Saccharomyces cerevisiae S288C: one gene and its partners. The gene in region 1 interacts genetically with each later gene. Each region holds a gene or a part of one and is shown on either strand. Other genes may lie near its edges.

Region 1 (7,098 bases):
TGAATTCGAGGCGTTAGAGACTGTCGCTAAACTCAAGTGATAGTCACACTTTAATATTAATAAATTGGAAGATTTCAGTCACATATTTGACAGAGGAAAATATAAAAATAAGAAGTAATAAAAGTAAATCATTATATATAAAAAAAATTAAGCATTATTCACACCTGATAAGGATTTTCTAAAAGACGACGCCATTATTAGAACAGGAGCAATTCAAATCGTTAAGCAAAGAAAAGAAAAAGAAAAAGAAAAAGTATGTGAAGGGTATAGACGAACAAAAAGGAAATCATTGAATTTATGGCATTTGATTGACGTTCCTGTTTGGTTCTGCAGTGCTACCACTCATAGCGCCAGAGTGAGCTCCTTCTGTGACCTTTTCTTGATAAGACCGATCACCTGACTCATCCGTAGAGTAAGCGTGCTGGTCCACTGCACTGTTAGCGACATTCGCAGAACCAGGATTACGATCGTTGGTGGTGTAACGCGTCTTAGGGTCCGCTGTTGTTGTGGTGTAACGTGTGTTGGTGGTGGTAGTATGGTACTGCCCATTGGGGTCATTAGTTGCATAGCGTGCGTCGCCATTCGGTTCAGATGTGTAAGCAGCATTATCACCTGCACCTGCTTCGACATCACCGGTCCTAACATTGGTGTTATCGTAAGCAGCTGTTTCTTCAAAAGGCTCGCTTAAAGCTAGTCCGCTCCACCTATGGAGCTTTGTACCCATAGAAGCGCCGCTTCTCCACATTCCTTGGGTTTGATAACGCTTCCTGATAGGTGTTAAGACATTAATTCCCAGTAATATCACACTGATCAAAAACAGTACAAAGCAAAGGCCAGAAAAGGCGATTGCCGCCTGAGAAGAATTACATGCTCTTCTATGACTGTCAGCAGTATATTGGCCACTGTACGGATTATAGTATAATCCGTCTGCATTAGTGTTGCTACAGCTACGTTCACCTTGAGCTTTGGCAAGAACAACGAAAGCTGCTAGCCATAGCATACAAACGATCAATTCGGCACAGAAGTACATTCCTATGTAGATCAATGTGGGTAGGGCCAGACACAAAATACCTAAGGCAATCAGATAAAACACACTAATGACACCTGTTGCCAATGTGAAGTTGGTTTTCTTATTACCTCTATTTCCATAGGCGTGGATGGCATACGCCAAAAGTGACATCACCAAAACCGATGATGCAAATTGAGAAAATCTCAAAAGTGTTAAGAAAACTCCAGTAACTCGTTTCATAACGTTGATATAATATATCTATTTGGTTTATGTTCCTCAATTGAAAAAAAAAACCGTAAACTTTCGTACTGAGAACATCAAAGCATAATGGTAACGGACGCTTTGTTGAACCTTTTTATACGTTGTCTTTTAGGGAATGTTAACCAACCATCGTCATCCCTTAAGATACGGTTTCAATATCCCTTGGAAACCAAATATACGTTAAAGTCATCAACGAGTATGCTTACTGGTTTATTAGTAACACAAACCTCAAAATCTCCTTAACTATCGTCAATTTAAGGGTATATATCCCCTTTCTCATTGTGCGTTTCTTTTTCCATGCCAGGTCAATACTCTCCTATGACTGGAAATACACTGTAAACATGCTTTTAGCCCTCTGGATTAGTAAGACTGGCAGGGCATCGCTTCGCCGTCCCTTTTTTCACTTTTACATTTTTTTTTTTTCATTTTCGCCCTTAAAGTTTTTTAAAGTTGATTTACTTACTTTTATGTAAAGAATATAAAACAATTCTAGACTTTCTTGGCGAAGGTTATTGAAGGAAGCGTGAATTCAAAAATCCATCACAGATATTTTGTATTCATTTTTTTGGGGAGGGCTCCTCTCCGCTCTACTCAACTTCACTGAGAACATAACATGGAAAGATTTTGGTACTTTATCTTGCGAAAGAAAGATTGCAAATAATGTTTGCTTTTTATTTTCTTCTCGTATATATCTATAAGGTCAATCTTATTGGTCACTGTCAAGAATGATTGTAACGGGCCCTTCATTAGTTAAAGAGCAACTCATCATTGCGCCGAATTCACCATCCTTTACTTTTTCCTCACCCAAATCACTTCTTAGTAATTTTAAGAATTCTTCATAAAGTTCTTTAGCTATATGACCCTTTTGGGCCAAATGGAAATCGGGTTTAGTTCCCTTCTTGGTTTTTGCCATCAAAGTGAATTGAGACACGGATAGAATTTCACCATTGGCCTCTTTAATATTCTTCTTCCATAGATTTCTGGATTCATCTTCGAAGATTCTCAAACTAAGAACCTTTTTCGATAATTTATCTATCTCCGCCATAGAATCATCAATGGAAATACCTACTAGGAGCATATAACCATGTTTAATACTGTCACATAGATAGAGGTGTTAGTAAAAAAAATTGGTGCACTAACGAAGCTGAAAAAACCGGTAACATACCTTGAAATAACTTTTGAATCGACGACTACAGATGCTTGGCTGACTTTTTGTAAGACAATCTTCATTGTAAATCCGCTGCTGAATAATATGTGGATTATTTAATATGTACATGCAGCCTTGATTAACGTGATTATACTTTTTAAACCTTTGATATCCAAATTTTTCAACGTCATAAGAGACGCGAAGGCCTAGTGAGATGCGAAATGCTAATTCAAAATGGAAATTTAAGAATATATTCATATATGTTTCTCTTTGGATACGAATGACCGTGGAAACTATCGCCTAAAAATGGATACCTTAGAAGAGCCTGAGTGTCCTCCACATAAAAATCGTATTTTTGTGAGCTCGAGTAAAGATTTTGAAGGCTATCCCAGCAAAGCAATAGTTCCCGTGCAATTCGTGGCGCTTTTAACCTCAATACACCTGACTGAAACAAAATGTTTGCTAGGCTTTTCTAATTTTGAGAGGCGAGGAGATCAATCCCAAGAAGATCAATATTTAATCAAACTGAAGTTCAAAGATAGGGGCTCGGAGAGGTTAGCCCGGATCACTATTTCCTTACTTTGCCAATACTTTGATATTGAACTGCCAGATTTAGATTCTGACTCAGGCGCATCCCCAACAGTAATACTGAGAGATATTCACCTTGAAAGGTTATGTTTTTCAAGTTGTAAAGCTTTATATGTATCAAAACACGGGAACTATACTCTATTCTTAGAGGACATAAAACCGTTGGATTTGGTAAGTGTGATAAGCACCATATCTACAAAATCGACAAATAGCAGCAAGCATTCGTCATCAGAACTTATTTCAGAATGTGATTTGAACAACTCACTTGTGGATATCTTCAACAATTTAATAGAAATGAATAGAGACGAGAAAAACAGGTTTAAATTTGTAAAGTTGATTCACTACGATATAGAACTAAAAAAGTTCGTTCAAGACCAACAAAAGGTATTATCGCAGAAATCAAAAGCCGCAGCAATTAATCCTTTCTTTGTGCCAAATAGACTAGGGATACCTTACATTGAATCCCAAAACGAATTCAACTCGCAGCTTATGACGCTTAATGTAGATGAACCGACCACAGATATAAGCAACATGGGAGAGGAAATGCATGACAGCGCAGATCCCATTGAGGATTCAGATTCCTCAACTACCTCCTCTACCGGGAAATATTTCAGCTCAAAATCCTACATCCAGTCACAGACACCTGAAAGGAAAACAAGCGTACCAAATAATTGGCACGATGATGATTCCGGAAGCAAGAGGAAGAGAAAGCTTTCTTTCCACAGTCCGAACGCGTCCTCAATCCGCAAAGCCATCAGTTATGAGCAACTTTCCCTAGCTAGTGTAGGCTCAGTTGAAAGGTTAGAGGGCAAAATTGTTGGCATGAATCCACCTCAATTCGCCAGTATAAATGAGTTCAAATATTGCACATTGAAATTATATTTTACGCAGCTCTTACCAAATGTCCCAGACAAGGTCCTGGTGCCAGGCGTCAATTGCATTGAGATCGTTATCCCGACGAGAGAGCGAATCTGTGAGCTCTTCGGTGTTTTAAACTGTCAAAGCGACAAGATATCGGATATTTTACTACTGGAAAAGCCTGATCGAATTTCCGTCGAAGTTGAAAGGATCCTGTGGGACAATGACAAGACCGCCAGCCCAGGTATGGCAGTATGGAGTTTGAAGAACATTAGCACCGACACGCAGGCGCAGGCGCAGGTGCAGGTGCCTGCGCAATCGTCGGCGTCAATCGATCCGTCTCGCACAAGGATGAGCAAAATGGCAAGGAAAGACCCCACCATCGAATTCTGTCAGTTGGGACTCGACACTTTTGAGACCAAATACATAACAATGTTTGGCATGCTAGTCTCCTGCTCGTTTGATAAACCTGCCTTTATATCTTTTGTCTTTAGCGATTTTACCAAGAACGATATCGTCCAAAACTATCTTTACGACAGATATCTAATAGATTACGAGAACAAGTTAGAGCTGAACGAGGGCTTCAAAGCCATCATGTACAAAAACCAATTCGAAACGTTTGACTCTAAGCTCAGAAAAATATTCAACAACGGGCTAAGAGATCTACAGAACGGCCGCGATGAAAACCTTTCGCAATACGGCATAGTTTGTAAGATGAATATAAAAGTGAAAATGTACAACGGCAAATTGAATGCCATTGTGCGCGAATGTGAGCCGGTCCCGCATTCCCAAATAAGCAGCATCGCCTCGCCTTCACAGTGCGAACATTTAAGATTGTTCTACCAACGAGCGTTCAAGAGAATTGGCGAATCCGCAATTTCACGCTATTTCGAAGAGTACCGGAGGTTTTTCCCCATACATAGAAACGGTTCTCATCTCGCGAAACTGAGGTTCGATGAAGTAAAGCATGAACCAAAAAAATCACCCACTACACCAGCTCTCGCAGAACACATACCCGACCTGAATGCAGACGTGTCCTCCTTCGATGTAAAGTTCACAGATATATCTTCTCTCTTGGACTCCTCGGCTCGCCTCCCGCGCCCACAGCAAACACACAAGAGCAACACATTATACAGTTGCGAGGGCCGTATCATCGCCATCGAGTACCACGCATCTGATCTCTGCTTCCATATCACGAATGAGCTCCCACTTTTACAAACCCGCGGCTTGGCCCCGGAGCGAGTGTTGCAACTACACATCATTACCTCCAAGAACTTTGCTTATTTTTTCAACCGCTCAAGCGCCTACTTACAGCGTCAGCCTCTTGAGGAAAAATATACGCAATTGGCACAATTTCTCGGCCATTCATTTAAATTCAATATAACCTCCTCGCTCACGCTGTTCCCTGACACTACCGTGGCACTCCAGATCTGGTGCCCAATTGAATGCACCTTTCGGGAATTGCAACAACAGCTGGCCCATCCGAAGGTTGCAGCGGCTCCTGATTCAGGGAGTCTTGATTGCGCAATTAATGCTACCGTCAATCCTCTGCGACTTCTTGCCGCGCAAAATGGCGTCACCGTGAAAAAGGAGGAGGATAATGACGATGACGCCGGAGCCGTTCCCACCTCGTAAGACATGATCCGCGCAGCCCAACGCGGCGGTGCCAAATTGCAGTGACGTCTCGGAGTAATATAAAAAAAAAAGACCAAATAACCAAATTTAAGGGTGCTCTGAATATAAGGGAGTGGAACGTTTTCACACGAAGGAAAAGGGAAAGAGGGGAGTGGTAAGAAGCAAGAGTCAATGAAAGGTCTTCCTTCCTTCTTGATGCTAAAACAAGGATAGTCTGGAATGGGGAGGAGCATTCGGCGCAGATGCCGACATATAAAAGGATGGTTGCTTTGCAACAGTTACTTGATCTTGCTTTGTTCTCTTGATTAGTTATCCGTTAGATGCAAACTTTAAGTACAGTAATTTTGAAGTGAATTAAAAAGAAAGAGGTATTTACGTTTAACGCTTATACTTTCCTTTTTATCCAAGTAACAAGTAACACTAATCACTATAATCTACCGCTATGATTTTCAAAAGGTTCGTTAATTTGCTTGTGTTTTTATTCCTACTCGGTGCTGGCTTATTGACGTTTTTTCTTATTCTGTCAGGAGGCAGAGAATCTGGAACGCTGAAAAATTTTTATTGGTTACAGGCTGATACAAACGGCTTTAACAGCGCTCCATCGACCACGAGATGGTACAATTACAATTGGTGCGGCTACGAAGACGGCCAGCTAGCTAATTGCTCTAGCAGGGCGCCCGCCAAGCCTTTCTCTCCCAGAGACAATTTTGGTAACTCTGTCAATTTACCATCGTCGTTCAGAAACAACCGGGATACCTACTATTATCTATCCAGGGTTGGATGGGCCATGCTGCTGATTTCCCTATTTTTCATCGTACTGGCGCTGGTACCCGGCTTTCTGGCTACCTTCCTTCCTTTCAAGGCAGTGCCAGTCCTGTACTGTGTGTTGTCCTGGTTGGCCTTTTTCTTCATTATATTGGCTGCATGCTTGTACACAGGTTGCTATGTGAAGGCCAGAAAGACCTTCCGCAACAGCGGGAGGTCTGCAAGGCTGGGACCCAAAAACTTTGCGTTCATCTGGACTTCGGTCTTCTTGATGCTCGTGAACGCCATTTGGTCCACTATATTCAGTGCTACCCACAAGGCCCACTCTACCTACTCGGACCACGACATGTATGCCCAATATGAAAGCCCTTCTGTTGACACCGGTGCTCAAATGGAGAAATCCACTTACAATAGTGGGGCGACGGACGGCGCGGGCCCTATCACAGCCGCACCTGTGGTTGGACAGCCTCAACCTACAACCACCACTACTCCGGCTGGCAATGGCAAGTTCTTTCAAAAACTGAAAACAAGAAAGCAGGTGCCATCAGCTGAGTTAGAACCAGCTGGGGATGGTGGTCTTGCCGGGCCAGTGACGGTACGCGACTAGGAAGGAAATAATCACCATAAAATACTTCCTAATTTTTTTTTTCTTCCTACATTCGCAGTACCATAACTCTGCATCTACCTCCAACCGAAATATTTTTTTGTGACATGGTATAATCCATATGTATCGTGCTGAAATTTTTTCTTGGAGATTTTCATTTATTCTCCACCATTCTTTCTCGCCTCCCCTCCTCCTTTTCCTTCTAATAATAACTTAGTTCTTTTTCCTTCT
Region 2 (7,161 bases), on another chromosome or scaffold:
CGTTAGGAAGAAATGGAATCGTTTTTGTGGGCTATCCAGTATGCAGTGGGGGACAGCTTTTCCAGTTTATACAAACTTGGCAGTTATTACTTTCTCCTACTCCATCATTTCTCCGTTGATTTTATTATTTGCTGCCGTCGCGTTTTTCCTATTGTATATTGCATATTTATACAATTTGACTTATGTCTATCAGGAATCACCCGACGCAAGGGGTATTTATTATCCAAGAGCTCTTTTCCAAACTATAGTTGGTATCTACATCGGTCAGATATGTCTATTAGGTCTTTTTGCCGTTGGTAAAGGTTGGGGCCCAATCGTTTTACAGGTAATTGGAATTTGTGTTACCGTCCTTATTCATTTACATTTGAGCGCTGCATTTGATCATTTATCAAAGGTTATACCCGTTGATACCATGAAACCGTTAGATGGTGTATCAGATACACCTTCTTTCAAAAATATTTATAAAGGCATAGAAAGTACAAAGGTGAAGAAAAATACTTTTGGTGCAAATATTGACATGGACGGAATCAAAGAATTACCTGAATTTCCAATAAAGAAATATCACAAGAGGAGTGAATCAGTCACTGAGCAACAAGTTGAAAATAGCATATTTAGTGAAAATACATTCGAATATCAATTCAACCCAGCAAATGAAGCCAATGCAGATGGGCACGCTATAAATGCAGAAAATTTAATTGAGGACGTGCCATTATTAGCAGATGGTGATACAATGAAAATTCCTCCGGCTCCATGGTGGAAGAGATTCTTAAAACCTCACATTTACTACTCCTATAAGGCTGTAAAGAGCAGACTGCCAGAAATATATGGTTTGGTTGATCCTGATGAAAGAGTCAATGATTTCGATATCTCTCATGCTTACGATTATCCAGCTGTTAGTGCACAATGCCCCGAATTGTGGATTCCTCGCGATCCTTTTGGATTTTCCAAATTGTTGATTTCAGACGTTTCTGGCGTTGTTGAAATGAACGATGAAAATGCTACCATCGATGAGAATTTGAAATTTACTCTGCGTGACGTACCACCACCATATAATGATGTTAAAGACGAAGCAAATGGTGAAGCAAATGGCGAATTTGACACAGCTAGTAAGGAAAATAATCCATTTGCGGACCCAAAGTATAAGGAAGAAGAGAGTCGTTCGGCAGTCTAAAGGTTAAACATTATCAGAAATTATCTATTCCTATTTGTTTAGCTGTTATCCTCTGATGGTTGAATTGTAATTTTACTAAGAAAAGGAGAGGAAAAGGACGTGCATATATTCTTTTAATACATTTAAAATATGATTCTAATCATTTCTTATATAATAGTGTATAGTCTAATCATTCATCGTGTATAGTAACCCTTTTTGTTTTTTTTTATGCAAAGTTTTTTTGTTTTTGGCAATCTATGAGGTTTGAATATTGGATAAAAGGAACTCCGCACAGTAATACGGAGCAGTCAGCTAATTTAACCAGCACTAATAGGGAGTACATTCAATTGGAAACTTTGATTCGCTTGTATGCGTGAAAAGCAAATTCCCTTCTAGAGAAGTTACTGAAAAACATGAATTTATTACGAATGAATGCTTTAACAAGCAAGGCTAGGTCAATAGAACGGTTAAAACAAACATTGAATATTTTATCCATTCGTAATCATAGACAATTCAGCACCATTCAACAAGGCAGCAAATATACCCTCGGGTTTAAGAAATACTTGACATTATTAAATGGAGAGGTTGGTTCTTTTTTCCATGATGTCCCTTTAGATTTGAATGAACATGAAAAGACCGTAAATATGATTGTTGAAGTACCAAGATGGACAACTGGAAAATTTGAAATATCCAAAGAACTTAGGTTCAATCCGATCGTTCAAGATACGAAGAATGGCAAGCTTAGGTTCGTGAACAATATCTTTCCCTATCACGGCTATATACACAACTATGGTGCTATTCCCCAAACATGGGAAGATCCCACAATTGAACATAAACTGGGGAAGTGTGACGTGGCTTTGAAAGGTGACAATGATCCTCTTGATTGTTGCGAAATCGGTTCGGATGTTTTGGAAATGGGTTCCATTAAAAAGGTCAAGGTATTAGGATCACTCGCTTTAATTGATGATGGAGAATTGGATTGGAAGGTCATAGTGATCGACGTAAATGATCCTTTATCCTCTAAAATAGATGACTTGGAAAAAATTGAGGAGTACTTTCCTGGGATTCTAGATACGACTAGGGAGTGGTTTAGAAAGTATAAAGTTCCAGCAGGGAAGCCATTAAATAGTTTCGCCTTTCATGAACAGTATCAAAATTCCAATAAAACCATCCAAACTATAAAGAAATGTCACAATTCGTGGAAAAACCTCATTTCAGGATCACTCCAGGAGAAGTATGACAACCTGCCTAATACAGAAAGGGCTGGTAATGGTGTCACACTTGAAGATAGTGTTAAACCCCCTTCTCAAATACCGCCTGAGGTGCAAAAATGGTATTACGTTTAATATGAAAATAATACCTTCGAAGAAAATGTTTAGATAAAGGTTCCTTGTATATAATTACGTAATCTCTGCTCTCTCGAATGTTGGCTGCTTGATGTATGTGAACGTTTGGAAAGAAACTTGGGTTTATATTCACTGCTAAAATGACATCCTATTAGAAGTTCGTCTTTCTCCGGTTCGGTTAGTCTACTCACCTAGAAACATCTTGCGAAAATCGTCGTTGGACATCTGCTCTTGTTTGTCAGGAATTTTTTTCTTTACTTGAAGATTTGGTCCTTTTTCCATCATGTTTATACAACTAGGTTTGACGTGTTTCATGCTGTGATTCTGTTGATTGTTATAATATCTTTTCATGTCATTAATAGTACCTGAACGTATCACCTTTCCCTGAAATTGAGATCCATTTAGTATCATTAGCATTTTTGCTGCAAACTTACTATCTCTAAATATAATAATGGCGCCATTGAAGTCGCTAACGAGAAGTATTTTCCTAATATCTTTTTCATTGATGTGTATTTCTTCCTGAAGAAATTGGCAGATTAAGCTTGGTGACACCTTATCTGAAAGTGGAAATAAGCATATTAGTGTTTCTAGTTCTTTGCTGTTACGCGATGCGAGAAGTCTTTTGACTTCGTTTCTTTCTAAGAATGGTTTTTTATCAGCCAAGGAAACGGAAATTTCCCTATTACCTAACAAACTTCTATTCATTTGAAGTGCCCTTTCAGCAGAATCTTTATTTTCAAAAACCATAAATGCACAACAGTTATTGAAACTGTGCTCTTTCTGTCCAGCAGGTATGTTGATTTTTTCAATGGAACCAAATCCCTCAAAAGATTCCCTCAGAAGGTTTTCGTCGAGCAATTCTGTACTTAGGTTTCGTATCATAATCTCTCGCCCCTCTAGTGTGGCAGAATCGGTCCGTTTCGACTTTTCCAGCGGATTGGAAACTTTAGTAACTAAAGTATAACCTTCTATTTTGAGTCCATTCAATTTTTCTACACAATATCTTGCATCCTCTTTAGAAGTAACATCGATGTAAGCGAACCTTCTGCTTGTATTGAATCGTAAACTGGGAAGCCGTATACTGAGTGCAACAACGTTAATATCTTGCAATAGATCTCTAATATTTCTTTGAGTATAACTTGGGGGGAAATTCGTCATCCATAATGTGCATTCTGTTAAATGAGATACTATAATTTCATTCTGACCTACAACTTTGTGTGTTTTGGTTATTGCAGCGAGGGCTCCATCATACCTGGCAAATTCAATACGTGCAAAACGAAAGTTCTTCTTCAGCGAATCCGCAACATCAACGTGTATAATGGGCCCACAATGTTTGAAGTACTTATAGACTTTGTTTTGATTATAGCTCTTAGGCAAATTTTTGACTAATACAGTTGTTAATTCTCTATTTCTTGTTAAAGCTTCGTTCGCCTTCTTAGAAGTTAATCCTGCGGCTGCTGGTGATCCTTCATCCAATGGTCGTTTTGAATCTGGTCTAGCGTGATGTCCATACTCCATTATCACAGATTATGAAGTGAATATGTGGGCTTGTTTATCGCTAATGATTCTCATATAATAAATATAAAGGGTTTTCAATGTTGTAGTAAATCTGCCATTTTGAATAAGTTCCCGCCTGAAAATTTTTTAGCGATGACTTTAAAAAAGACATTGATGCACTCTACAATTCATTGTCATGATGTACATAGAAAATTGAATGATACAAGCGGAAATATTATCAGAATAAATCGGACATGGATAGCAAAGAATATCTGATATCATATGGTTGGAAAGAAGGAGAAGCGTTTAGAGAAGGTGGTTTGAAAAGACCCATACTGGTAAAGCACAAGAGAGATAAGAAGGGATTGGGTAATGCTCCTGGCGGGAATGATGGCGAAGCATGGTGGGAAAGGCTATTTGATGGACATCTGAAGAACCTGGATGTAAGCACTGATTCGAATAATGGCAGTATTAAATTTACTCAAAATGAGGCAGTTGCTACTGCTGTATCGAAAAGTAGCTCACCTCTATACAGGTGGTTTGTAAAGGGAGAAGGGCTGAAAGGAACCATTACTAATCTTGGTAAAAAGGAGGAAGCCAGCTTTGTTGTATCTAGTGCAAGTTCGAGTAAAGGGAAGAAGAGAAGAAGGCGTGATGAAGATGATAACAAGGTCAAGAGAAAAAAATTGAAAAAAGATAAAAAGACTAGTAACGACAGTGAGAGTAAGAAGAAGAAGAAGAAGAAAAGCAAGAAGGAGAGTAAAAAAGGAAAGAAAAGTAAGCATAGCAGCGATGAAGGTGATAAATCGAAGCATAAAAAATCCAAAAAGTCAAAAAAACATAAAAAGGAAGAAAGTTCAGCAAGAAGAGATAGAAAGGAGCATATATGATTATCATAGTCTAATATGTAAATATGTATCCGTAAAAGACATTCTTAAAAGTTTGAATTTATGATCTTTTTATTTTTGTATTTAGTCTTTGTTTTCGAACTTTTATTAATATTAAATTTCAGTAAGTAAATTAAAAGAACATCTTTAAAAGAGTATATTTATTGTTACATATGTTGATCTTAAAAGGAGATGAATATTTCTTAATGGAAAAAGGTAAAAAAAAGATTTTCTCATTCATATGTTCCCATTAGGCAGTTCTATGAGGCAGTCGTCCAACTCGTAATCAGAGATCTCATTCTCATCCTCTAAGTAGCCCTTTACCTGAAAAAATGTTCTTTTGTTTAGAGCATCTTCCGTCTCTTCACGATTTAAGCGTTGTAGCTTGGATTTGTCCTTTGATGTCAACCGTTTATCCTTCAATAACTTTTCCACAGGTATGAAATCTTCTCTTGTTTTACTTAATAGCTCCTTTAAGTATGAACTGGTCTTTTTTGGCTGGTGATACTTTTTTAGAATTTGTTTGGGCAGTCTGAATTTTCTCTTTTTATACTTTTCTGGGATATCGTTATATAGCTCTAATGATTTCATGTAGATATCCGTCATATCCTCGTTCATTTCACAACCTCTTGAAACCAAGTCATGATATGTGTATTTAATTCGTCGATTGGCCTGCATGGGCTCGTCGTCTATCTGATTCGCCCTTATATTATTAGAATGCTTATCTTGCCTTACATCGAATTCGTTCTCTTTGGCTATTTTATCATGCAACCCTTCGAATAAGCTGTCCAGTTTAACTAAGATATTCCGGGATATTTCGTTTGGAATGTTCAATTCATCCACATCTAGAGTTACATCATGGTCCAAGGCAGACTTAGAGAGAAATTTTTGCCATTGAGCATCCAGCTCAACCCTCATCATATCAGAGGCGTGCATTAAAGCCCTATTTGAGATCTCCCCCGGCTGTACGCTTACATTTGCAATACCTTCCGGTATATCTTCATACAATTTGTCTACACTAGGGTCAATAATTGTATTGGGATTAGGCCAGCTCGTCCAGTTATCCTTAATTTGGGTCTTCACAAACTGGTTTACTTCATAAAAATGTTTTTTTTCATTTGCCTTATACAATAGTCTTTTCAAGAGGTACGCAGAGTATAAATGCAACGAAAGGTCGACTCTGTGCGAGTGTTCTAGAGAATCTAATAATTCATTTGCAGATTTCAAAGTCTCTTTATCAGCGGTTGTAGTGGTAAGCTCAGATCCTCGTATAATATCTTCGATAGGAGCATCGATCTGAGTTTCAATTTGACTTTCTTCGTCAAGATCACTCATCAAAACCCCACGTAATGTTTGTTCTCAAATATATTTCGTCGTCCCGAAATCAGCACAGTTTTATAATGCAACTGTTAAATGTCTAGAGAGAAAAAACCGCCGACACATCAATATTTTCACCCTTTATGGCTAAACTTGAGTGTGATTCTTGCATCTGAGTAATCTTCAAACACGAAAGGCCTTTTTGTTTATTTTGTAGAAGAAAAATATTTTAGTGAAAAATTATGGAAAGTAGTAGAAATCCTCTCAAGTGAAGCATGACAAAAAGAAAAGTAAGAAACCTTAAAAGACACTAATAGTTGATGAATTACTATGCGAGAACTCACGTAACTCCAACAATAAAAAGCTATTTACGTATACTGATTAAAAAAGAATACAAGAAAAATTTATTCTTTCCTATACAAACAATGATAATCAAATGGTCCATGTCAGTTCTATAGTTCATATACCATAGGCCTTACGGTAGTTTTCAATCGCTGATTTTTGCTCTGGTGATAGTCTATTTCCCATAAATTGTACCACTTGAGTCAGTGATACAATACTTAGCACAGGAACGTTGTATCTCTTTGAAACAGATTGGGTAGCACTTGTTCTTTCCGGATCAGATTCATGAATCACTTCTTGCCTATCTAAAGCAACAATACAACCCACTACCCTACCTTGAGCAATACTGATTATCTCAAATGCTTCATTGATTGCAGTTCCTGCAGTCATGACATCGTCGATAATCAACACCCTCTTGTCTTCAAGCGATGCTCCAACAATAATACCACCTTCGCCGTGGTCTTTAACTTTCTTTCTATTAAAAGCATATTGAATACCTTGAAATTTAGTGCCCCCGATTTCTGCTAGTTTAACGCATACAATAGCAGCCAAAGGGATCCCTTTGTAAGCAGGTCCGAAAATAACATCGAATTTAAGCTCCGATTGAATGATAGCAGTTGCA
Region 3 (10,818 bases), on another chromosome or scaffold:
ACTTCCCCGTAGAAGATTCCTCTGTTTTCTTCTCATTATCTTTTTGAGCACCAAAAGTAAACGCTGGCTTGCTCGTATCACTGGATTTCTGTTCTTCGGGTTTAGCACCAAAGGAAATGGCAGCCTTCGCCCCATCGCCTTCCTCCTTTCCTGTAGGCTTAGAACCAAATGAAAAGGCTGATTTTGATTCATCACTTTCTTTCTTTTCGTTAGCCTTTGCTCCGAATGAGAAGGCAGGCTTGGAGACTTCATCATTCTTCTTTTCATCGGGTTTAGCACCGAATGAGAAGGCAGGCTTCGAAGAACCACTGTCCTTTTTTTCATTCGATTTAGTACCAAATGAGAAGGCAGGCTTCGAAGAATCACTGTCCTTTTTTTCATCCGATTTAGCACCAAATGAGAAGGCAGGTTTAGAGGCATCGCCATCCTTTTTCTCATCGGACTTTGCTCCAAAAGAGAATGCCGGCTTGGAAGTTTCATTGTTATTCTTTTCCGCGGGCTTGGCACCAAAGGAAAATGCTGGCTTAGCCGTTCCATCTTGCTTGTCTTCATTTGATTTGGCACCAAATGAGAAAGCTGGTTTTGAGGAATTATCATCCTTCTTTTCTTCTGGCTTAGCGCCGAATGAGAAGGCAGGCTTAGAAGTAGCACTAGCTTTATTTTCATCCGGTTTAGCGCCAAAAGAGAAGGCAGGTTTAGAGGCATCACCATCCTTTTTCTCATCAGACTTTGCTCCAAAAGAGAATGCCGGCTTGGAGGTTTCATTGTTATTCTTCTCCGCGGGCTTGGCACCAAAGGAAAATGCTGGCTTAGCCGTTCCATCTTGCTTGTCTTCATTTGATTTGGCACCAAATGAGAAAGCTGGTTTTGAGGAATTATCATCCTTCTTTTCTTCTGGCTTAGCACCGAATGAGAAGGCAGGCTTAGAAGTAGCACCAGCTTTATTTTCATCCGATTTAGCACCAAACGAAAAACTTGGGGTTGTGTTAGTTGTCTTATTGTCGGATGTTGCAGTACCAAAAGAGAGGGCTGGTTTTGCTGGTTCATTAGTTGTAGGTTCGGGTTGCGAAGCTCCAGCTGGGTTAGCACCAGCTGATCCTGAACCAAATGAAAGGGAAGGCTTTGCAGCCTCGTTAACCGTTTTGTTTCCACCTAGTTGTGAACCAAAGGAAAATCCTGTAGTGGGAGCTTGAGCGTCTGTCTTATTACCGACACTTGAATTAAAGGAGAAAGCAGGCTTGTCTGGTTCTGTTTTTTTATCGTCGTTAGTGGTTGCACCAAAGGAAAAGGCTGGCTTATTCGCATTTGCGGTAGCGCCAAATAAGTTATTACTTGTGTTAGCATTACCGGTCGAGCTAGGAGTTGTGTTATTGCCGCCGCCAAAATTCAAACCGCCGAACGCAGGTTTTGTCGTATTGCTATTAGTACTGTTATTGAATAAGGATGAAGAACCAAATGTATTTCCTCCAGCAGTTCCATTGCTCTTCGTTTGTTGAGCACTGGAAGATCCAAAAAGGGATGTCCCTGCACTATTACTACCAAATGTATTAGTCGTAGAATTGTTGCTGCCAAAAACGTTACTTGTGGGGTTACTGTTACCGAATGCAGTATTACCAGTGTTATTGCTACCAAATGCAGGTGTGATTGAAGAGTTTGCATTGTTCGTGTTATTTGGCGCAGAATTGTTGAAACCAAATGTTGATTGACCTGTTCCGAAGGCGCCCGCACCAGTAGAGGAATTCTGATTGGTGGTGTTAGAGTTATTGTTGGCAGTCCCGAACGAAAAGGGCGTTTTGTTTTGTTGAGGTGTATTGAAGTTCACTAATATTAAAAATCATGTAGTTTACAGGTTCGCAGGTTTTCGTTAGTAAATAGGAAGAAATTGTATAGGAGATAAAATTTTGATCGGAAGACAACCGTCCAATGGAAAGAAACATACTTTTTCAAAACGATCAGAGCTTATTACTGTTGGACTGTGCGTTGCAATGGCTCTCCAATAGCGTCTTCAGGTATCACAATCGACACGTCAAATATCACATCTGAGTGGTGCTAACACCATTTATTATTTTCTATAAAAGTTTGAAGAAAAAAACTCATCGGACCCGTCCGGGTTGTCTCAAGTTCTACAAAAGCATTATGCTTACATTAATAATAATAAAAAATACAAAATACTTAAAATAATCATACATGAAAGGATACGTAAATGTCTGAGGGCTCCTTATTATATTTTCGAAACCCAATACAAAAAAGAGATTAAAAAATTAAGAGAAATCCCTTATTATTTAGTACTACTGTTCCGCGCATCCTGGATTTTGTCTAGCACATCATCATAAGCAGCGTCAATGGCATTTTCCTCTGCATTGTTCATAAATTTATCAAATCCAGGCGCATCGGTCGGAGGAATATGAGCATTATCGTTCGTTCTAGAAGTATTGGAGCCTGTGGATATCGGATCAGTGGTAGGGGACGCATTAGCACTTGAATCATTGGATTGGGAGGACTGTTGTTCATCCTTTGTTCTGAACGCGGTCTCTTCTTGGTTTCCCTGTTTTTTGAAAATATGATGCAAGTGGTACCCTTGGCTATGCAGTTCATCAATGACGCCAAGGATAGTAGAGACGTCATTCTTCAACAGAAATTCCTTTATCTGGTCACTATCTAAGGATTGTGCGGCACGATTTAAGATTTCTTTGTCCACTGGCAAATCGCCACCACCGACAAGCTTTTCGTGTTCTAGTTCTCTTTTAATGATAGAGTATTTGTTTTTGATATCAACTTCATCTCGAAATTGTTGATCATTTGCTGGTACGTCTTCGTGATTTACGTTGGAGTCGTCACCTTCTCTGAATTCGACGGCATCTTCTGCATCTGGGCTTGACTTTTCGACTATTGCACTACCGAATGGCATAAGCGCAATATGATCTGAATTTTGTAATATAGATGAGCTTAGTAACATTCTTTGACAGCTTTCGGAATTGGGTTGTGCTTGATTTCCCCCTTTCCGACTTTTTGAGACGGCCTCTGGTGATTTCAAAGTGTTGTTATGTCTTTGTTTCAGCAGGTCACAGCCTCTTTCCAAACTTGCCTCTATGAAGCATAATCTAATCAAAGCTTCCTTACCTTCCAAATTTAATTGTCCATTCAGTTTTAAATCAAAAAGATCATGAACCACTTTACTAATCTTGATACGTGCCAACGCGATTTTGGCCATGAAATTCTCAACCATTTTGTTGTAATGTTCGGAATTATCCGCTTTTTCAGTTAATAAAAGTGATAGTTGGTCCTGTAGGCTTGAAAATTGGCTATCTTTGATATCTTTATCGTCACTATTAACCCTTTTCAACTCCCCTTGAATATTTCTTAAAGCATATAATGAAATTTTTTCCTTAATGTTCTCTGGCATATACACATAGTCCACGTCCAAAGTCATCAAAGATGAACTTTTCCTCACCGCCTCTGCTAGAGCTTTAGACGATGCCAAATCCAATTCCGTTCCTAACATGGAAAAATAATTCAATCTTGAACACATGGGTAATATTTCGGCCAGCATCACTACACTCGTGGAACTTAAATTATTGTAGTCGATATGCAGACGGACAAGATTAACAAAAACAGGTAAAAAATCAATCAGCGTCGGAACACAGTGGGGGAAGATGGCAGGATTGTTCGATATATCCAAGAATTTTAAATTTTCCAAATAACATAAAACGCTTATCAGTTTTAAGACCTCGTTATTCTCAAAAGTGTCGTGTTCGTTCACTCTCAAATTTGTCCCATTTAGAGATAAAAATTTGAAGACGTTTTTCTCGTTAGCTTTTTGTATTTTGCCTAAAACAGCATCGGTGAAAGAGGAAAGTTTGCCATTCAAATCGTTAAAACCAACGTCTAGACCTGTCACTTTTGATTGAACCATCCACTTGGCCAAATCATCACATTGGCTCTTAGATAATCCATTATACGCGAGGCCCAATCTCTCGGTTGCTATACAAGCAACGAGGATGAAGTTTTTGAATTGTGCAGAATTCATCTTGGCCCCGGAAATGACAATTTCCTCCAAACCGCCCATGAGGGCAATAGAAGCTGTCAAAAGGTCCCAGTTCATGTCGGATCTATTTTCCAAGTTGCATTGCATTCTCAGAATTTTTGACTTCAAAGAAGATTTAGAAGGCTTTTGTACATTTGTCTTGATGGAAGGGACCATTGTCAAATCAATAGAGTGCAGAGACTTGGCCTTGGAGACAAAATAACACAGAACTTTCCATCCTTCTTCATCCAAGGGGGTGTTTCTTAGAGAAAGTTTTTGGAAATGCTGTTTGTAAACCAGCGAACTCAAAATTATTCTAAGCATTTGCACGGTTAATTGTACACCGTCCAACGAAAGACATAAAACGGGAGCAATGCTCAAGAAATCGCTGAACGACCAAATTTCCACCATAGAAGGTCTTGGGTTACGTAACTGTAAGATGGGGATAGGGTCCGTCGAGCCCTTTTTCAATTGCTTCAATGTGGCTGGTATGGGCAGAATTTCTCGCAAGTGACAACAACGGGTATACACAATGTCGTGAGGTATCTTCAAAGAAGGTGGGGGAAGAATTTCTCCTTCATCATCTGCGTTCGTACCGTTGGTATCACTGGACACCATGGAGGCCAAAGAGGATGTGGAAGCACCCCTTCTTGAAATCATTGGCTTATCGATGGTCAAATGGCTGGCGGTCTTACTGACAGTGACTTCTTCTTCATTGTTGGTCACGATACGTTTCAATTCGTTAGGTGCCTCTTTGGCTCTGGCCTCTGCAGCAGCTTCTGCAGCGGCCATAACGATGTTTCTCCTTTGAGAATTGTTATCCTCCTCGTCGTGTGCCTCCACTTCGTTCTGCTTTTGAGGGGCCATCTCCTCTTTACTCTTGGCATTTGCGTCGTCTTCCTCGGGATTTAATAGTTTTAATTGCCCGGTCCCCCCAACGACAACACCCAAACTAGTCGATTCCATGATTTTTTTGCGTTCTTGCGGAGTCAACCTATGAATGACAACAGATCCATTAGGCTTCACTTCCACTTCACCTTTACGAGGGTTTTTACTGCATATTTGTTGTGGAGGATCGTTGAAATAGGTGTTCGTAGCAAAGGAGACGTGTTTCAAGGGCCGTATATTCTCGAGGCCGGGGACGGTGGTTATCTTTGAAGGGTCGAACTCCATTGAACTAGAAGACCATAGGGACGTCGATGAGGTGTCTGGATTATTGACGTTTGCAGAAAGGGAGGAGGCATTGGTGCTGTTGTTGTTGTTGTTCCCATAAGAGGTAACTTTCCTTAAAAAGGCGCCGAATTTATGAGAAGAAGGTGTCTGATTATTATTCTGCGCTGACGAGGAAACGTCCGAATTGGAATCCACTGTGTCTACTATCGATGCGTTGCTTGGATGCTTCTTCCTGAAGGCGGAAGGCAATTTGGGTGCGTCGGGATGCGGCGGAATGGGTCTTCCCTTAGCGTCAAATTTCTGGTGAGCAAGTGATTTGGCAGGTTGTGGTTTGTCGTTATGTAATGAGAACGAAGCGCGTCTATTTTTCTTGGTTGTGGGAGACGCAGATGACTTAATAAAGTTCCCTTCTTTGAAGGCGGCTAATTTGTAATCCTTAGATTTGTAGTAGCGCAAGAAATCCATTAATCTAGGATCAGGTCGAGAGCCGCCATAGTTATGATCGTCTGCGGGGGAAGTTCCGTCGACTTTACCCTCTTCTGGTGAGTGGTATGTGCGCATACGGCCATGGTAGTAGCTTTGCGGATGATTTTCGTAATACACTTCTGATTCCGTCTTGGATCTTGTTAACGGTACCACAGTATCGTTATAAGAGGGTGGAGCATTGTACTGCAAAGGCGGTGGTGATTCCGCAGATATGGTAGCCGTTCTTTCTCTTCTTATGGCCGCGCCACGGTCCACGTGAGTCGGAGAGGGTGAGCGCTCTTTCCTTTCTCGTTCCTTCTCCTGTTGTTCCTGATCCTTCTTCCTATGGCCAAACAGACTCTTAAAGAATCCGACCTTCTTAGGTGCAGGAGCATCTTCCGTGTGATGGTGGTGGCGGTGGTGGTGATGATGTCCGGAGTCAGCCTCAACGTTAGACAGGTTAGTCTCCACCACTGACTTCGACCTACCCCTAGGGGGAGGAATGTTTGTGGGAACGGATGTAGACCCAGCGTTAGCACGCTGATTATCCATTAGCAAGCTCGCAGCTACGGAGTGACGGCGTCCCTTATCGTTTGAAGAAAGAATGCTGCTGGAAGAGTCTACAGACGTTTCGAAAACGGGCGGGCGAGCAGTGTCCATCTGGATGTCAGGAGCCACACTGTTGGCCTTGGACTCGGATTTCCCTGGTCTGGAGCTCTTGCTGGTGGAGGCACTGGGCCTGACCAACCATCCAACGTCGATGCAGGGGATTCGGTGCTCCTTAAGCAACTTTTGCGTGTCCTTGGAGTCCATGGAGCAGTTGTAGGGCTATCTTGTATATTTTGCGTATTTAAGTGCGATTATGCGAGTGCCTGAGTGGTGTATATGTATGTACATATGAACGCTTTAAGGCAGAAGCTTGTTATATAAAGGAGAATGAGAACGCAGCATTTGCTTGTACAGCCAGATGCTTCGAGTGAAACACCGTTGCGTAAATTGAACCTGAACGTTCTAGATGCGAAAACAATACAATAAGCCAATAACGTAAACAGTCGCGCAGCACGAGGAAGGGGGGAGAGCAAGCTGTCCAGGACGGGTGAACATCGAACGGGGCCGACGGCCTAAAAGAGAAGCTGATGAAAAAAAAAAAGGCCCGGGCTACCATTGGAACAACGGGTCCGTAGTAGGTAGCGCACCCAACAGTGCCTCCAACTGCACCACACACTTGCGCTGTCGCCCTTTTGATGCTTCGTCTTCGTCCTCTATCTGCATGTTGTAATCAGACCCGTAGCGCGACCAAATGTCGTAGTCGTCAACATGCGGTGTGGCGTACACCAACTCCGGTGACGACGTCCAAAGTAGCTGCAGCGGCATTTCGCTCGCGTGCCTGATCTCACAATCATGCAGCACAGACCTTAGGTCCCTGGTGCTCATTGCAGTTTCGCCAATAAACAGCATGGGGATGATGATAGTCCGTGACTGTTGCCAGGGAAATCTCCACTTGGGTCGGTTGGTACAGCCTGTGTGTTTTACCGTTGATGGGCCCATGTAGTGGGACCAGTCATCCAAGAGCCTAGCATAGCTTTGACGTAGCGGCGCCGTCGCGGCGCCGCTTTCAAAGCTAGCCGGGTTGGCGATCTCGATGGGTATTATGGTGTTGCATTTCTGCAGGAGGTCGATACAGTCGGTGATCTGGTGTAGGGTCATCGCCATAGCAAACAATTTCTGCGTCAGTCCGGCAGTACGGCCACTAGCAAAGTCTTCGTCAGTAAGTGCCACAATGTCGTGGCACTTTGGTACTAGACTTTTCAGAATCTCCAATTGTTCGCTGATGGCTTCACAGCGCTGAAAACAGCAGTAAGTGTTGACCAACTTACCAAAAGATGCATTTATATCCGTGTAACGCTCCAGTCCGGAATAATCAACAAACATGGCTTGCGGTTTTCCTGAACACTCACCTTTTAGTATTCTTTTTTTCTTTTTTTTCTATTTTTTTTTCGACATAATTATTATTTTTTCTTGAATTATTTACTGACGCAAAGTTCTGACCACAGAAAAATTCCACGTCTTATTTTGCCCATGCCAGCCGTAGAATACGCACACGTGTACGCATGCTCCAAGTGTTATTGTAACTGGATGGTGCGCTGGTTTAGGCCTGTAAGCGGTCGTAAAGGAAAACCGGATATTATGTTACCCGCTTCTCCTACGGCATTACTAGTTCCTTTTTTTTTTTTTTTCAATTTTTCCATTGAGTTTTCCATAATCGGTACAGCAGCGTTTAATTTCATTACCTTTTTCAGAACAATGGGGGAGAGTTGTCAAGAGAATTGGCATACATAGAGAGGGTTAGCTGTCGTGCGTTTGTATTTTTTCGCTTATGCAACCATGAAGGATGTCTTACAATGGGCGATTGACCACTACGAGACAAGAGACCAACTGGTGCAGAAGGGAATTTGGAAAGGTGAACTCTACCATGACTCTATCTTTAAAGAAAATAGTAGAGGCTGGCTCTGGAAAGCTTTGCTTCTGTGTGATGAAAACAACAACTGCTTGTTAACTGATAACTTTAAAGGTTTGGACCTTAACCAGTTCGGCTTGGTGCCAGTGCCTATGCTGGCAGATGGCGACAACTATGACGAAAATCATAATGCAAATGTACCTAAAAGGGTCTTGCACTCGAACGTTTCCTCCTCAGTGGGAATCAGGAGGCTGACTCCCGTCGAGGCTGTTGAAAAACATCCCTTGTCTGATGACAATGACAAAACTAAAGGTTCTTTGTCCAAGGGAAGTGATGAAAAGCCGTTGACACTGAGGGAAACTCTGGAAATTATAGATTTGGACCTCTCAAGGATAATGCTTGACGATATATTTCAGGAACCCAAGGTTCATGCTCAAATGAGACAACTTTTGTACAATTACCTGCTTATACATCAAAGCGAACACCTACAGTATAAACAAGGGTTCCACGAAATATTAAGCGTCATTTATCTGCAATTATATCACGGTACAGATCTCGATAATACCGATTTGCAAAACGTTCTGATTATCTTTAACAAGCTAATGAACCAAATCGAACCGATTTTTTATAACGAAGAAAATTTGATTAACTGGGATAAGAGAGTATTCACGAAAATCTTTAGGATTTGTTTGCCAGACTTGTTTTCAAAGGTTTTTTACCAACCACCAAAAACGGGCAGCGGGAAGAAAAAAAACGTAGACCATCTGATTCACTCCAACCTAATCTGGCTCATCCGATGGACAAGGTTGTTATTTTTAAGAGAATTACCCTTAAAATATGTGCTAATCGTTTGGGACCACGTCCTGACGTTCAATTATCCCTTGGATATTTTCATTGCATGCACTATCATCACCCTTTTGTTATCCATTTACGATGAGCTTCACGAACTAGTGAGCCAAGGTGACTATGAACATACGAATAATAACGATGAATTTGTTGAATTGATTTTGCATTTCAAGAAAATTTTTGAAAAGGAAGATGCCAGTAAAGATGATGAAAAGTTTTTAGACCTGTGTAAGGTCACTGGAAATTTATGTGAATTGTGGTATGGAAAAAATTACGACGATATGAGATTGATTTGCGACACTTTTATAAATGCGAAGTTCGGCATAAAGACTAGTGATGTTTTAAGTATGGAAACAGCAAAGTTGACTATTGATCCTAATAGACAATCACTCGAAAACAAACTGAGGGAGAGGGTAAGGCAAACAATTTTGAAGAACAAAAAGAAAATAAGCCAATAAGTTTTTCTTGTCAATTACTCGTTGTTATTTGTTTGAAATCCCAGCCTGCACACCCGCACGACAAAATCAAAAAAAAAAAAAAAAAAACCCAGCTACCACCAACAAACAGATAGCCCACATGTCATATTTCCTAATGAGCTGGTTTCCCTCTGATATTTTTGCATATTGCAGCTCGACGTATATTGTACTTCAATGTCTTGCATAAAATTATATAGCATAATAGATAAGGTGTAAGTTGACAGTAAACGAGTACTATTGACCAAGAATCAATGAGAGAGATAGAGAGAAAAATAAGAAAAAAGGGAAAGATCATTTTTGCCAGATCAATAAATAAGTTTGCCCTCCAAAATAAATAAATAAATAAATAAGAATTAATAGGATCTGACAGCTGGAGGGACTGGGGCGCATTCATTCTCATCTAAAGTATGTGCGATTACATTCCTGTACTTGATTTTTACAGGTGTTGATGTCCCCTTTTGCCATGATAATGTGTGCTTTCTCCAATTCACATCATCTCTTTTTGCATAGTCCTCTCTCGCATGAGCACCACGAGACTCCTTTCTTTTGGAAGCAGAAACAGCCGTTTGTGTGGCACAAGTAAGTAAATTTTGCAATTCCAGAGTTTCTACGAGATCAGAATTCCAGATCATTGACTTATCAGAAACGTGCACATCCTCAAATGTCTTGTCCACTTCAGTAATATTTCTAACACCTTCATCTAGAGTGTCTTGCGTCCTGAAAACAGAAACATCTTTTTGCATTGTCCTTTGCATGTTCAACCTGATTTGAGAGGTTTTCAGTGAGCCGCGAGCATTTCTTACTTTATCCAAATTAGCAATTGACTCGTGCCCGATGTTTGAAGCCAATGGCTTATGAGGCAAGCCAGGCTGTAATGTGTCAGCAATGGTATTTGCAACGGCGCGACCGAAAACGACTAAATCCAGTAGTGAGTTAGCGCCTAATCTGTTCGCTCCATGAACCGATACGCAAGCAGCTTCACCACACGCCATCAATCCTGGGATGACCTTATCCTCTCCAGTTTCCTCGTCAATGGTCAATGCTTCACCAGTCCATTTTGTGGGAATGCCTCCCATATTATAATGGACAGTTGGCAAGACAGGAATTGGCTCCTGGGTGACATCGACACCCGCAAAGACAGCAGCTGTTTCAGATATTCCCGGTAGCCTTTCCTTTAGTACCTCAGGTGGTAGATGGCTTAATTGTAAAAGGATATGATCCTTGTTTTTCCCGACACCTCTGCCAGCCCTGATTTCCATGGTGATTGCTCTGGAAACAACATCCCTGCTTGCCAAGTCCTTGGCAGTAGGAGCATAGCGTTCCATAAACCTTTCTCCTTCAGAATTCAATAAAAATCCACCCTCACCACGGGCACC

What was found.
Region 2: mutations in DTD1 (region 1) and TMA23 together harm fitness more than expected from each alone (negative genetic interaction), as found in Saccharomyces cerevisiae (2 studies listed by BioGRID).
Region 3: mutations in DTD1 (region 1) and MHP1 together harm fitness more than expected from each alone (negative genetic interaction), as found in Saccharomyces cerevisiae (2 studies listed by BioGRID).

The regions. Positions count from the first base shown.
Region 1 is NC_001136.10:60,644-67,741, reverse strand, and holds DTD1 (D-tyrosyl-tRNA(Tyr) deacylase), read right to left. Parts: upstream 2,501-7,098; coding exon 2,436-2,500; intron 2,365-2,435; coding exon 1,977-2,364; downstream 1-1,976. Other genes in the region: YDL218W (uncharacterized protein), read right to left, coding at 296-1,249; telomere-binding protein CDC13, read left to right, coding at 2,724-5,498; FMP45 (Fmp45p), read left to right, coding at 5,941-6,870. UniProt on the Saccharomyces cerevisiae protein: An aminoacyl-tRNA editing enzyme that deacylates mischarged D-aminoacyl-tRNAs. Hydrolyzes D-tyrosyl-tRNA(Tyr) into D-tyrosine and free tRNA(Tyr). May also deacylate mischarged D-leucyl-tRNA(Leu).
Region 2 is NC_001145.3:800,209-807,369, forward strand, and holds TMA23 (Tma23p), read left to right. Parts: upstream 1-4,247; coding exon 4,248-4,883; downstream 4,884-7,161. Other genes in the region: RSN1 (Rsn1p), read left to right, coding at 1-1,171; inorganic diphosphatase PPA2, read left to right, coding at 1,564-2,496; U6 snRNP complex subunit PRP24, read right to left, coding at 2,680-4,014; RRN9 (Rrn9p), read right to left, coding at 5,118-6,215; orotate phosphoribosyltransferase URA10, read right to left, coding at 6,657-7,161. UniProt on the Saccharomyces cerevisiae protein: Trans-acting factors of the ribosome biogenesis process.
Region 3 is NC_001142.9:356,906-367,723, reverse strand, and holds MHP1 (Mhp1p), read right to left. Parts: upstream 6,476-10,818; coding exon 2,279-6,475; downstream 1-2,278. Other genes in the region: FG-nucleoporin NSP1, read right to left, coding at 1-1,821, 1,940-1,940; YJL043W (uncharacterized protein), read right to left, coding at 6,821-7,594; GTPase-activating protein GYP6, read left to right, coding at 8,048-9,424; succinate dehydrogenase SDH9, read right to left, coding at 9,796-10,818. UniProt on the Saccharomyces cerevisiae protein: Essential for the formation and/or stabilization of microtubules. Binds to microtubules in vitro.